2 linked regions of the Anolis sagrei genome follow. The protein of the gene in region 2 interacts with the protein of the main gene of each other region in a pairwise test. Links are inferred from orthologs where the notes say so. Each region holds a gene or a part of one and is shown on either strand. Other genes may lie near its edges.

The links.
Region 1: the proteins of GRAMD1C (region 2) and CD151 interact in binary tests that used the Homo sapiens proteins (3 or more experiments, as listed by UniProt). The link is inferred for Anolis sagrei from reciprocal best matches to the Homo sapiens genes GRAMD1C and CD151.

Annotation. Positions count from the first base shown.
Region 1 is NC_090021.1:241,271,530-241,279,474, reverse strand, and holds the start of CD151 (CD151 antigen), read right to left. Parts: upstream 3,106-7,945; 5' UTR 2,925-3,105; intron 1-2,924. UniProt on the Homo sapiens protein: Structural component of specialized membrane microdomains known as tetraspanin-enriched microdomains (TERMs), which act as platforms for receptor clustering and signaling.
Region 2 is NC_090023.1:40,433,638-40,441,290, forward strand, and holds the start of GRAMD1C (protein Aster-C), read right to left. Parts: upstream 3,042-7,653; 5' UTR 2,942-3,041; coding exon 2,939-2,941; intron 1-2,938. UniProt on the Homo sapiens protein: Cholesterol transporter that mediates non-vesicular transport of cholesterol from the plasma membrane (PM) to the endoplasmic reticulum (ER).

The sequences.
Region 1 (7,945 bases), on a different chromosome or scaffold from region 2:
TACAGAGTTCCTACGTATATAAGCAGTCCCCGAGTTACAAACATCCAACTTACAAATGACGCATATTTATGAACGGGGATAAGACAACAGGAAGTGAGAAAAATCTACCCCTTGGAAGGGAAGTTCACCCCTGAAAAAGTTATCATGGGGAAAAGGTGTCTCAACTGAAGTTTTCTTACCAATCCTTGTTACTAAGCCACATTTTTCAAAATCAAATTACTACAGGGACAGAAAGTGAGGTGACATCTTCTCAACAGGGGAACATACAGCAAAACAAACACCACAGGGCTGTTAACCCTTCCCTATGCTAGCCAAAGTTGTATGTATATGCATATGTGTGTGAATGCATGTGTGTGTGTGTAGGCAGGAGTTATACTTTAAAATTTACCTGTTCCGGCTTACATACAAATTCAACTGATGATCAAACCTACAGAACCTATGTTGCTTGTAACTTGGGGACTTCCTGTACAGCCATCCTTCCTTCCTCATTTGGTGAGGTTAAGGGTTCAGGACACCTATGAAAGTGGAAACACTTGGGGACTTTGTAAAACTTTGTAACTGGGGGACTGTCTGTGGTTCTTAACCTGGGGTCCCCAGATGTTTTTGGCCTTCAGCTCTCAGAAATCCCAGCCAGTTTACCGGCTGTTAGGATTTCTGGGAGTTGAAGGCCAAAAACATCTGGGGACCCCAGGTTGAGAACCACAAGCTTGGCTAGGTGTGGGCAGAGAAAGATTACACTGGCCACACATATTTTGGTGCCTCAAATGTTAGCCCTGTTTCTCTGTAGATTTGACCTACTGATTCCAAAGATGGCACAATTTTTTTCTCATTGGATCTAGTTTTTGAAATACAGAATAATAACACCACCAACAACAACTTTATTTTTGTACCCTGCCTCCATCTCCCTGAAGGGACTTGGGGTGGCTTACATGCTCGAGATTCCACATTTATATAAATAAAAATGTAATGTTTGTTTGTGGGATGAACATAACTCAAAAACCGCTGGGCAAATTGACACCAAATTTGGACACAATATGCCTATCAGGCCAACGAGTGACCATCACTCATAAAAACTCCCTCCCACACCCCCCCCCCCCCACTAAACAAAACACACAATAGCATATCCACACTCTCTTCCGGATGACAGCTCCCAGCATTCCCTAGACCAGGCCCTTTAGGAGAGGAGGATGATCCAAATGCACTGCTTCTAAGATACAAAGCTTTCTTCTCCCTAGATTTCTTTGAGAGCATCCCAATTCCTGCATATTTACAATTTCCTATTCCTGGAGTGCAACTCCCAGCAATCCTCCAGATAGATAGATAGATTAGATGGAGATAGGTAGGTAGGTAGATTGATCAAAAGGACTGGTGGGAGCTGCAGTCCAAGAATAGGTAGAGAAGGAAGAAATGAGAGAAAGAGTAAGGAATAGAAAGGGGGGAGGAAGGGAAGATCAAGAGAAGGAAGGAAAGAAGGAAAGAAAAAAGGGAAAGAAGGAAAGAGAGAGGGAAGGAATGAGAGAAAGAAAGGAAAGAAAGAGGAAGATTGGCCACAGCAATGCATGGTGGGTACAGCTAGTAGTTAAAATATAACAACAAAATTCACAAAAGCATCTCAACAGTATAGAAACAACCACGTGTGATACAATACATAGCAAACATCTATCTAGCAAGGAGTTTCTGTATATATTTCAGATTTCAATATTAATGTCAAAAATACGTAGTATGATTTTACATCGGATTTGTGCTACATTAGAACAGTAAAGACAAATACCACTTAAGTAAAATAAACATTAAATATTAAATAACCAGAAAAATAAGATCAGGTGGTCTGAGTAGTGCACAGTTCTGAGCTCAGGCGGCGGCTGGTGCAAATCCCTTGCAAAGGGGTTGGGGCTGATGGATCAAGTGCTGAGGGCAGATGACAAGATTAGAAACTTGGTGGCAATGTAAGGGGAGCACTATGTCTCTAAAAGGGATCTGATTATGGATCAAATTGGGGGGGGGCGAATTATTTGGGGAACTATTTATTTGGGGAATATGTACTATTTACCAGTCGCCATCTGCCTGCCCATAAGAAATCTTGACAACGATATCTAAGAGCAGGCACGGGCAAACTTGGGCCCTCCAGATGTTTTGGACTTCAACGGTAGGCTGTTAGGAATTGTGGGAGTTGAAGTCCAAAACACCTGGAGGGCCCAAGTTTGCCCGTGCCTGCCTAAGACACTAAAGGTGATGCGGTCTATCCAGTGGGCACCCTAAATATGGCAACCCCATGAATTTCATTTTTTTCCAGGCAGGGGATACTTGGGGTGGTTTTGCCAGCACCTTCCTCTGAAATACAGCCTATAGACAGGCATGGGCAAACTTGGGCCCTCCGGGTGTTTTGAACTTCAACTCCCCCAATTCCTGGCCTCAGGCCCCTTCCTTTTCCCCCTCCCCTTAGAAACCAGGAATGTTTTGTTGTTGGGCTGGGTGATCTTTCCCATTCCCAAAACAAAGCAAGGCAGCCCACCCAACGTAGACCGCCTGAGATTTACAAGAAGGGAAGAGGAGGAAAAACCCGCCGCAGGGGCAGAAGACCACACCTGGATCCCGAAATCATGAGTTAGAGATTCCCTCCCAGGGAGATTTTAAGAGAAATGTGAACCAGGTTAACCTTTGGCTGCTTTGCAATCTGACTCAACCCGTGGGCTGAGCAGGCCACTTCCTTGCCTCACAAAGACATCCGGAGAGACAAAGGGAGGCAAGGCGGGGGGGGGGGGGGGGGGACCCACTTTCTGGAAGTTTGCCGGGCGAGTCGCGGGTCCTTCCCGGCCTCTTGAAATGGGTCAAGAAGCCAGGCTGGATCCCCACCATGGAAAGAAGGGCCCCGCTCTCCCCTGCGCCCCCCACCTCCCTTCCTGCAGGGCTCCCCCTCGGCGCACCTTGTCTCCCGGCGAGTCCTGGCGCAGCGCAAAGGCAAAGCCGCTCCCCCGCTGCCTGCCTTCCTTCCTGCTCCTCTTCCTCCCAAGGCCAGCCAGCCAGCCCTCTTGGCGGATGGAGCCAGCTCGGGCCTCTCTTCGCCGCCGGTGGGGACGCCCAGCGGGAGGGAGCCCTCCTGGCCCCGCCCACGGAGCCCGGGAAGGAGAGGGGAGGGCGCCTTTGGGCCCTGCGAGGTCCGCCCCAAGGCCCCCAAGCAGGGCTTCACCCACGCTCGCCCCCCCCCCCCCCCCCGAGGTCTCGGCAGCCTTGCACAATCATCAAGGATGCTGGGAGAGGTCGTCCACAGGAGGACTAGAGTTTGGGGAAAGTGGGGAAAGGAAGAGGAGGAGAGGATGGCAGATGAGTCTGGCTCTGGGAGAAGAGGGCCCTGGTGGCCCGCCTAAGCATCCCAAAGCAGGGGTCTCAAACTCTCCTCTCCCCCTCTTCCTCCAGGTGTTTGGGACTTCATTTCTCAGAAACCTCAGCTGCCTTGACTATCGGGGATTCTGGGTTGAAGTACAAAACACCTGGAGGAAAGGGATGGAGAGGAGCTGGGTTCTAGGAAGGGTAAGAAAGATGAACCAGCTAAACACCCCAAAACAGGGGTTCCCAAACTCGCCTCCTGGTTTTTGGGACTTCATTTCCCAGAAGCCTCAGCTGCCTTAATTAACTGTCAGGGATTCTGGGAGATGAAGTCCCAAACACCTGGAGGACCACAGTCTGGCAGAGATCAGGAGGAAAGGGATGGAGAGGAGCCGGGTTCTAGGAAGGGTAAGGTGAACCAGCTAAATACCTCAAAGCAGGGCTTCCCAAACACTCCTCCTCCTCTTCCTCCTCCTAGTATTTGGGACTTCATCTCCCAGAAACCTCTGCTGCCTTGACTATCAGGGATTCTGGGAGATGAAGTCCCACAGTTTGGCAGAGATCAGGAGGAAAGGGATAGGGAGGAGCCGAGTTCTAGGAAGAGTAAGGTGAACCAGGTAAATATCCCAAAGTAGGGGCTCCCAAACTCGCCTCCTCCTCCTCCTCCTCCTCCTGGTGTTTGGGACTTCATCTCCCAGAAGCCTCAGCTGCCTTGACTAACTATCAGGGATTCTCAGAGATGAAGTCCCAAACACCTGGAGGACCACAGTTTGGCAGAGAGCAGGAGGAAAGGGATGGAGAGGAGACAGGTTCTAGGAAGCGTAAGGAGAACCAGCTAAATACCCAATGTTTAGCACTGCCAACTCGCAGAAGCTTCAGCTGCCTTTAGCAATCTGTTAAAGTTCTAGGAGATGAAGTTGAAAACATCTGGAGGACCAGAGTTTGGTAGAGAGAAGAAGTGACCTGCCTCAACACCCCAAAAGGCACCAGTCACCATCTGATCTCAGAAGCTAAAGAGGGTGAGCGCTAGTGAGTATTTGGATGGGATATTGCCAACAAATATAGGTGCTATACCAAGCATGGGCAAACTTGGGCCCTCCAGGTGTTTTGGACTTCAGCTCCCACAATTCCTGGCCTCAACTGAGGGGGAAAAGGAAGGGGTCTGAGGCCAGGAATTGTGGGAGTTGAAGTACAAAACACCTGGAGGGCCCAAGTTTGCCCATGCCTGTCTATAGGCTCTATTTCAGAGGAAGGTGCTGGCAAAACCACCCCAAGTATCCCCTGCCTGAAAAAAACAAACATGAGATTCGTGGGGTTGCCATAATAGTGGGTGCTCATAATGGAGGGATATAATCATGGTCTCTGGGACTTTTTAACTTCCTAAAAAACTTGGGAGGAGCAAGAATATAGTCAGGATTTTCTGGGGATGCCAAATTATTTAGGTACTTAGAACAAAAAAGGTTGCAAAGAGCGAAAAGGCTGTTTATACTGCAGGGATGTGTATTAAAATGTCTTATGAGGTTCATTTCAAGGCCCCTTCCACACAGCTGAATAAAATCCCACATTTTCTGCTTTGAACTGGGATATATGCAGCTGTGTGGAAAGGGCCTGAGAGTGAAATCTAGAAAAGGAGTTGGAAATAAAACTACCAATATATTTCCCTACAGAAATCTATGGTGAGACTTTTAAATTTGAAATACTGTGTATTTGGCCAGGGGACGCCTGGATGTGTTACCATCCTGTGGGAGGCTTCTCTCATGTCCCCACATGGGAAGCTGGAGCTGACAGATGGGAGTTCACCCCACCTCGCACATTCAAACCACCGACCTTCAGGTCAGCAGTTCAACCAGCACAAGGGTTTAACCCATTGCAGCACTGAAGCTTCTATCAAATCAGATAATCCACATTATCTGCTTTGAACTGGATTATATGAGTCTACACTGCCATATAATCCAGTTCAAAGCAGATATTCTGGATTTTATATGGCAGTGTAAAAGAGGCCTCAGAGAATAGCAAAGGCAGACCTCCTCTGAACAAATCTTGCCAAGAAAATCCTCCCTTCAGGCCCCTATAAATCGGACATAATGTGCCCACAAAAAAATAGAGAAATGAGTCAGATATTTCTCGCAGTACTAGAACCTAGGGTAATCTAATGAAACCAAATGTAATTGTAGATTAAGAATGGATAAAAAGTAGTACCGTATGACCTCCTTATCCTCAGGGGATATGTTCCAAGACTCCTATGGATGTCTTAAACTGTGGCTAATAGCAAACCCTACATTTTGACTATATTTCAGCAGGAAGCATATCATAGAATCACGTTGGAGAGAGAGGTCCGCCAACACTCCCAGGTAGAATATGTTTTGGAGCAGGGAGAAGTGAAACTGGATATCCACCCCATGGATAAGGGGATTGTATTGTATTTCTTTACATAGTGCATAGTAAAACTAGAACATTTGCTACCATCTTGGATGAGTATTTAAAAAGTTTAAAGTAATTTATGGAGCAAAGGGCTAAAAATGGCTACTAGGCATGGTGGCTATATATTACAGTCTCCAAATCAGTATGCCTCTGTGTACCTGTTGCTAGGGGACATAAGCAGGGAATACTAATGCATTCATTTCCTGATATGGCTTTCCGTTGGCATCTAATTAGCCGCTGTACAAACAATGTTAGACTAGATCAGCCTTTGCTCTGATTCTTTACAAAATTATGGTGATTACTGAGTGAAGGCAAGAGCTGTTTGCTGAACTGCAGCATAATTTACAGTGAGATTTCCAAATTAAAATTAAAATTGTTTTTTTCATACACGCCTTGGGCTTGAAATAAGCACTCAAAAAGTTATAGTCTCCAAAATACTTTGTATTTCTATTTTTTTTAATAAGTCCAGTATCCTTTGCTTTGCTTTGAAGGAGCTGGGGGTGGTGACGGCCGACAGGGAGCTCTGGCGTGGGCTGGTCCATGAGGTCACGAAGAGTCAGAGATGACTGAACGAATGAACAACAACAAATCCTTTGCTATTACGTTCTGCTGTCCTCTAAATACACTTGTAAAAGTGGATTGCTGCTGCTATTGCTATGCTACATTCACCACTGAACTTCACAATAAACATTAATAGTTTGTAGATAGTAATATTTTTAGTAGAAGGGATCGTAACTGAAATACGTGATATGTTTTTAATAGTTGTATTGAGGAACATTCTTTAAATGTGCAACTTGAGTTCATCTGCTAAAGCAAATGGCTTCATCTAACACTTTGGGGTAAATGATCCCTAATTTGCATTTACATTGTCAAGATTCCTGCTGATCAATGAGTGACCAAGAAAGCGATCTTAGTAGATAGCTCAATGATAGCATCATGTGCAGCTGCTATAAAAAGGCAATCTCTCTATTGGCTATAATTGTCTATTGGCTATCATTGTCTATTGGCTATAATCAGACCTCGTCACACTAGAGCATGAATCCACTTTAAATCCAGTTTCTGCCTCCTGCAGAATTCTGGGGCTTATAGTTTAGGGCCTTTAAATTGCTCAGCCAAAGAGATCCTGGGTCTCATAGAATCATAGAGACCTTGTGGGCCATCCAGTTGTCCAACCCCCTGCCAAGACGAGGGAAAATCGCCTTCAAGGCACCCCTGACAGATGGCCTCCAAAGAAGAAGCCTCCACCACACACCGGGGCAGAGAGCTCTCCGGAGCAGAACAGCTCTCGCAGTTAAGAAGTTCTTCCTAATGTTCAGGTGGAATCTCCTTTCCTGTAGTTTGAAGCCATTGTCCATGTCCTAGTCTCCAGGGCAGCAAAAAACAAGCTTGCTCCCTCTTCCCTATGACTTCCCCTCACATATTTATACATTGTCCGAATGTATATCCCGCTACAATCCACCTAGGACCCTAAGATCATCCAGGGAGGCCCTGCTCGTTGTCCCCCCATCATTGCAATCACATTTGGTGGGGACAAAGGACAGCGTCTTTTCTGTGGTGGCCCCTCGGCTGTGGAACTCCCTCCCAAATAAAATTAGATCTGCTCCATTCCTCCTGACCTTTCGGAAACAAGTGAAATCCTGGCTATGGGATCAGGCCTTTGCAGACTAGGCTGACCTGCTGGCAGAATGACAGCTTTAATGGACTTGATGGACTGCTTTTAGGACAATGACTTAAATTGGCGACTATTTGAATGTTTTTATGCTGTTTTTATATTGTTTTTATTTAAATTGTATATCTATGCTTTTGGTTGTGGGCACCATGGTGTGCCGGTTGTTAGCCACCCTGAGTTCCTCTGCGGAGGTCAAGATAGGACAGGATCCAAATGTCCTAAATAAATAAATAAATAAATAAATAAACTACAAACCCAGAATTCTTAAGGAGGCAGAAACTGGATTTAAAGTGGATCCATACTCTAGTGTGATGAGGCTGCACATCTGATCCCCTGTATATACTACTGACCATTGTGGATTAAAGGGTAATAACGGAGACAGAGAATGCTACTGGAACATGGCCATACAGGCCAAAAAATCCACAGCAACCCAGTGATTCTGTCCATGAAAGCCTTTCACAACACAATATAATTGTGGGTACAATAATGCAGAGAGGGAGAGAGAAAGAAGAATGCACTTGCTGCATTTTA
Region 2 (7,653 bases):
GGTGAAGGATTAGTCATTATGTTTATTCTAACTTACAGAATCTATAGCAGGCATGGGCAAACTTCGGCCCTCCAGATGTTTTGGACTTCAATTCCCACAATTCATAACAGCCTGTAACTGGCTGTTAGGAATTGTGGGAGTTGAAGTACAAAACATCTGGAGGGCCGAAGTTTGCCCATGCCTGATCTAGAGCCAGCCTTCCATATGCATTGTGTCTAGGAGTGCAGGACCCTCACAAAAGCGACTAAAGAAATTGCCATTCTTATACCTGAAAAAACACTTCTCTAAGCACTTCTAGCTCTTCCAGCGTGGCTCTATTGTCAACTATTGTTGGACTATAGAATCGCACTGGAGGATCTAGAGATTCCTACAGAAATGTTCTCCTTAGAAATCGCTAGGTCCTCCAGTATTAATGGAGAAAACTGATCCTAGAGTCACACTGTACAATCTAGAATGAAAATTTTAATGAAATCCATGAAAAATCTGTGAGGGGAAACTACCCAAAGACAGCAGAGCATCCCAAAATACAAAACGGGATACCCTACGGTTGAGCATTCAGCTCACAGCAAGCAGAACATGAAGTGCTGTGGCTGTAACGAATTTAGGAGGCAAAAATGCAGAGTTTAATCTTAAACAGTACAAAAGGTTTATTTACTTTAAAAAATAGTAACATTTCTTCATAGTAAAGAACTGGGTCTGAGCTATTCTATACTCCATCTCTTCTAGGGTTCAGAGAGGGGAAAACCACCGAGCACTACATCTCTCCTGGTACACACAAGCAGAGAGAGATCTCAATGCACTCTACATGAACAGATATATAAATAACACTTTATTTATATTCCGCCCTATCTCCCTAAGGGGACTCAGGGCAGATCACAGTACAAATACGCAGTAAACATTCAATGTTGTTCGGATAGAAAAGGACAGAACAGACAAAAAGGAGGTATGTTGTGTTGACATCCAGCTTTCGATGCCTTTGGAGGATGTGCTCAAATCTAGCCACAGGGGGGTGCTGTTGCTCCATCCTCTATGACGAAGAGCCATCACGACTTCCTCCTTTCTTTTGGTCACCAGTATTTTCTGGTCTTTTTCTATTATGGTTTCGTAAAATACCTCCCCTGCTATTTATATCGTGCCGAGGCAAGAGGGATATTGGGAGGGGAGAGGCTGACTACCCACGAAAAATTACTACTACCACATCAGCTCTAGATTATTAAAAATGGTTTTCTGTGGGCTAGCAGATGGTGACAACTGGATGGCATATGTTCTGTATCAGAAACTAGAGCTGATATGGTCTATCCAATGCAATTATCTGAATCAGCACCCCAAATAACCAAACCGAATCTAAAGTTGACCAAAAACTGATTCATAGCCCTTTTCATACTAATGTTGGAGTAGTCCCTGGTCAAGGTGGTTCCTGGTCAAAAAAAAGGTTAGGAACCATTGCCGTAAACAAAGGATTGACTTAGTGGAGAAGTTGAGAGTGTTTTCTAGGCCCTCAGTTCTCCATTCCAGGCTTCCTGGAATTCCCCTTCTGTACCTATCCTTTCAAAAAATGAAATTGGTGTAAGTGTGTAAGAGAACTGGGAAGCCCTGGCCCCTGAGTGCTCCAGCTGGAGGTCAGCTGTGACCAGCAGTGCTGTAGAATTTGAAGAGGCACGAACGGAGGGCAAAAGAGAGAAACGTGCCAAGGGAAAGGCATGTCAAGCCAACCCTGACCAGGACCACCTTCCACCTGGAAACCAATGCCCTCACTGCGGGAGAAGATGCAGATCAAGAATAGGGCTCCACAGTCACCTATGGACCCACCGCCAGGACACCGATCTTGGAAGACAATCCTACTCGGACAATGAGGAATCGCCTATGTAAGTAAGGGAAAGGTCTCATCAAAGTCTAAAAGTAAAGGTTTTCCCTTGACATTTAGTCTAGTCATGTCCGACTCTGCAGGATTGATGCTCATCTCCATTTCTAAGCCAAAGAGCTGGCGTTGTCCGTAGACACCGCCAAGGTCATATGACCGGCATGACTGCATGAAGCACCTTCCCACCGGAGAGGGACCTATTGATCTACTCACATTTGTATGTTTTCGAACTGCTAGGTTGGCAGAAGCTGGGGCTAACAGCGGGAGCACACCCCGCTCCTTGGATCTGAATCTGCGACCTTTCGGTCATAAAGTTCAGCAGCTCAGCGGTTTAACCCACTGCACCACCAGGGGTTCCCCAAAGTCTACAGTTAGGGCAATTCGCCTTTGAAATCGGTTGACGAATAAAGGATTTAACATTGAAAGATGCCAATGTCTCCAAGCCTTATTGTGCTTCTGCCCCATCTGCCAGCTTCTTGAACCACGTTGGCACTCTGTGTGGCCTATGAAATATCAATACTAAAATATTAATATTAATTTACACAACCCCCTTTTATGTTATTATAAAAACAGTGAACTATTTTAATAAGGAATTGAGATAAAAGGGGTTTTTTCCCCCCTAAACTGGAAGAACACTTGGGAAGTCTATCACCCCTAGAGGATAAGGGGTGCATCTACACTGCAGAATTAAATCCAGTTTGATACCACTTTAAATGCTATGGAATCATGGGAGCTGAAGTTTGATACCACTCTTTGGCAGGGAAGGCTACAGACATTGCAAAACTACAGTTCCCATGATTCCATACCATTGAGCCCTGGCAGCTAAAGTGGTGTCGAACTGCATTAACTCTACAGTGGAGACGCACTCCCCAAAACAGCGTGGAAAGTGGCACCTTGTCCATCAAGTCCAACCTAAGCTCACAATTTCAATTCCACTGAAGATCCCAAGCCAGGGACTTCCCCTGTAAGTCACACCTTGGAAAAGCAAAATAATAAATACCTCCAAAGAGAGAAGGGGAAAAATACCCCAAAGGAAAGGGAGGGGGGGGTGAAAGGGAGAAAGCCCACGCCGCTTACCATAGAGGGAGAGAGGGAGGTGCAGCGAGGCCAAGGCTGGTCTCCAAACCCAGCACACCGGAGGGCTGCCGGGCTGCCCTTGTGTGCGATTTAAAGGGCCAGCAGCGGCATTAGGACAGGGGGAGGGGGAAACCTGTTGATCTCTTTGACCGAAAACAGCGGCCTCTTTAAAGAAGCACGGGCTCCTTTCATGGCCAATGAAAGGAGGCGGCGATAAGATCTAAGGCTTCCTGGGACTTCCCCTCCTCTCTTGAATCAGGTTGCAGATTTCCCTAGGAGTAAGGATGCATCCACGCTGTAGAATTAATGCAATTTGACACCGCTTTAAACTGATATAGTTTCAATGCTATGCAGTCATGGGGGTTTATAGTTTGGTGGGGCTCCAGCACTCTTTGGCAGAGAAGGGAGGACGACCTTGGAAAACTACATCTCCCGCCATTGCATAGCCTTGAGCCCAGTGGCCCAAACTGCATTAAGTAATTGTAGTTTACACTCTTTGGCAGAGAAGGGAGAAAGACCTTGGAAAACTACATCTCCCACCATTGCATAGCCTTGAGCCCAGTGGCCCAAACTGCATTAAGTAATTGTAGTTTACACTCTTTGGCAGAGAAGGGAGAAAAACCTTGGAAAACTACGTCTCCCACCATTGCATAGCCTTGAGTCCATGTGCCCAAACTGCATTAAGTAATTGTAGTTTGCACTCTTTGGCAGAGAAGGGAGAAAGGCCTTGGAAAACTACATCTCCCACCATTGCATAGCCTTGAGCCCAGTGGCCCAACTGCATTAAGTAATTCTACAGTGTAGATGCCCCCTTGCCAAGGTCTTTAGCTTTTTCCATCAAAGAGTGTTGGTTTTTAACAAACTACAAGTCCCACTATTCCAAACTACAAGTCCCACTATTTTAACAAACTACAAGTCCCACTAGTAGTTAATGTGGTGTAGGAATAGTTATGTAATTATAGGGGAGGTCATGAGTTTTCCGGGCTGTATGGCCATGTTCCAGAAGCATTCTCTCCTGATATTTCACCCACATCTATGGCAGGCATCCTCAGAGGTTGCGAGGTCTGTTGGAAACTAGGAAAACAGGGTTTATATATCTGTGGAATAATGTCCAGGGTGGGAGAAAGAACTCTTTGCTTGAATGCTGCAATTGGCCACTTCGATTAGCATTTAATGGCCTAGCAGTTTCAAGGTCTGGTTTCTTACTACTTGGGGGGATCCTTTGTTGGGAGGTGATTAGCTGGCCCTGATAGTTTCTTGTCTGGAATTATCTGGAATTCTATAATGTCATTATAGTTAATTAATTTTAAATAATTAATTAACATAGTCGTTCATGAGATTGAGTCTGTGGAAATCAAAGGCTTTTGTATGTACATGATTTCTAGGACACATATTTGAGGCGTGTTGACACGCAAATTAATCAGTTGTATATATACAAAAATAATATGTAAAAAGCTAGTTTTAATTAAGAACTGTATTCTTAATTAGTTAATTAGACCACATGTGCTCTTTGGATGACATATCGCATGAAGGCACAATACAAGACGAACCCAATAAACTAATTTGTACTTTTTGAATTCATGGCAAACATCCGTCTGCATGATATAAATCTCAGTGATTATGCTATTACAAGAAAGAGTTATTGAACTTTGAGTGTCCTGTACTTCAAAAATAAAAGTTATGGGAAAGTTTTAGTCATGGAGAAGCCTCAAAGATACTCGGATAACATACTGTGGGTTTTGGAAAGCACTTCAATGTTTCCACTATTCCACTCTCCTTATCACATCACTGGTATAGTTATAGCCTATGGCATAACTGGACAAGTTTAACTGGTATGTTTACTAGGACCAACAAAGAAGCTGGATATCAAATAATACATGCTACTCTGTCAATTCTGGGCTCATCTGTACTGTAGAATTAATGTTTTGACGCCATGGTTCAATTCTATGGTATCCTGGGAGTTGAAGTTTTACAAGGTCATTCTTCTTCTCTGCCAAAGAGTGCCAGTGCCTCGTCAAGCTGCAGATCCCAGGACTTAACTGCGTTGAGCCATAGCAGTTACAGTAGTGCCAAACTGCATTAATTCTACAGTGTAGATGCTATGGCATCCTGGGAATTGTGCACCAGCGCTCTTGGCAGAGAAGACTACATTTATATAGTAAGGGTGAAGGTTTCCCCTTGACATTAAGTCTAGTCATGTCCGACTCTGGGGTGGTGGTGCTCATCTCCATTTCTAAGCTGAAGAGCTGGCGTTGCCCATAGCCAGGGGCAGCTCAACCATTACGCAAAGTAAGCATTCGCAGTATAGTTGATTTTGCCTAGGGGTGCTCTTGAGGCGCTCTTGGGGGAAAATAGACCTTGACATATGCGAGTTGTAGTTACTAGGGTGTATAGTTCACCTACAATCAAAGAGCATTCTGAACTCCACCAATGATGGAATTGAACCAAATATGGCACACAGAAACCCCACGATGAACAGAAAATATATATCAGTGATTGGTTGGGGGGGGGGGGGGGATACTGTTTGCTTACCGTTGAAAATTACCTAGGGCCGCCTCTGCCCATAGCTACCTCCAAGGTCATGTGGCCAGCATGACTGCATGAAGTGTCATTACCTTGGGTTGTTGTAGGTTTTTTTGGGCTATATGGCCATGTTCTAGAGGCATTCTCTCCTGACGTTTCACCTGCATCTATGGCAAGCATCCTCAGAAGTAGTGAGGTCATTACCTTCCTGCAGAAGTGGTATCTATTGATCTAATCACATTTGCATGTTTTCAAACTGCTAGGTTGGCAGAAGCTGGAGCTAACACCGGGAGCTCATCCCACTTCACAGATTCGGTCAGCAAGTTCAGCAGCTCAGTGGTTTAACCCGCTGTGCCACTGGGGGCATTTATATATATACGTGCAAAGGTGAGGCGGGGGGGAGGGGTTTGCTAGGATTTCAATTTCAGATCAAGAGTGGTTTCTCATCCACATCACCCCAAATTAATTATTTTAGTATAATAATAATAATAATAATAATAATAATAATAATAAACTTTATTTATAGACTGCCCTATCTCCCCGAGGACTTGGCAGTTTTCAAAACATATGGCAAGCATTCAGTGCTAACAAAGAAGCATATCAACAAATTACATCAAAAACAAAATACATCAAACAATATAATACAGCCTAACTATAAACCTAATCTATATAAATAAAAGTGGTTTTTGAGTTATGTTAATCCCACAAATTAATGTTCATTTGTGGGATTAACATAACTCAAAAACCACTGGACAAATTGACACCAAATTTGGACGCAATCAGGCCAACGAGTGACCATCACTCATAAAACACTGAAAAACATAGCGGAAGGGACTTAAAAACAAGAAAATAAAAAAAATACAATGCATGTGCATAACCACATATATACACAAATACACAAATATATACACTCAAAACACATATTCACAGACTGGGCCACAGCAACACGTGGCAGGGGATGGCTAGTATCAAATAAGAATATACGGAAAAAAACCCTAGCAGACATAATCACTATTAATGTACAAGCCAGAAAAACTTGAACAACCCCACTTTTTTGGAATACAAGCCCCAGAATCCACCAAGTCAGGGTCAGATGGTGAGAAAGCAAACAATACAACATAAAATAATGTTTTGATATTTCAACACAAAGTGGGTATAAAGCCCTGCTAAAATTAGAGGAGCTGGGCAACCAAGCATCTGGCCTGTTGCCCCTTCTCAGCAGCCCTGCTTCCTTTTCCAAGGAAGTAACATGGAAATAGCTACCGCTAGGTGAGAAGGGCCATCTGTTCTTCTCAGAAGGTACATGACAACAGTTTTGTTCACCTTCCCTAGAATAGGGCAACTAGCTGTGCACAGCAACTGAGTTGTAGTATTATGCAAAAACCCTAATGTTTCCAAATGTTGCTAGCAGCAGCCATGCATCTCTCTGGGCCCAAAAATGCAGACAACACTGGGATAAAGGGGGGGGGGGGGGGGAGGCTAGATGACATTTGCCAAAAATTCACACTAGATCACACTAACAGCTTAAAAACATTTTTAAAAGGTGTACTTAACATCCAACTTTGGCCGAAGAATGTGCATATTTGCATCACTGTATATCCCTGCAGTTAAGAAAAATACATGACTTTGTTGCTATATGCTGGTGTGGACTGCTCCAGCACATGTGCATATTTTTAAATCCCCAAACAGTTGATGAGGACCATAAACAGATGGAGCCACAGACACACAGGTGGCTGAATGGAAGCACAATTGGAAAGCAATTCTCATAAGAACTCTCTGCAACCTTTCCCTTGTTCTCATATTTATGAAATTAAACAGAGTTTGAATTTATAAAGTGGGCACCAGCATGTGGTGGGCACATGCTGGTGGTTTACACAGTATGTGGTTTACACAGTGGGCACCAGCATAGTGGGCACCAGTGACCTCAAAGGGAAGCAGAGTTCAAGAGTGAAAAAGTAAAGGCAGCTGGAAGGTGAGGAGAGACAATGACATGACATCTGCTTGTTCGCACATTCATATATTCACATCAGCACTTACGAGGTCCAGCGCATCTCAGAGCATCATTTTTAAAAATAGTAAACCTCCAATGGATGTCCCATGTCTATCTTATGGATTTCTAAAATCATCTACAACTGAACCTGTCAGGATGGCAGGGGACCATTTATCGGGACTAACAATTCTGTGTCTGGACT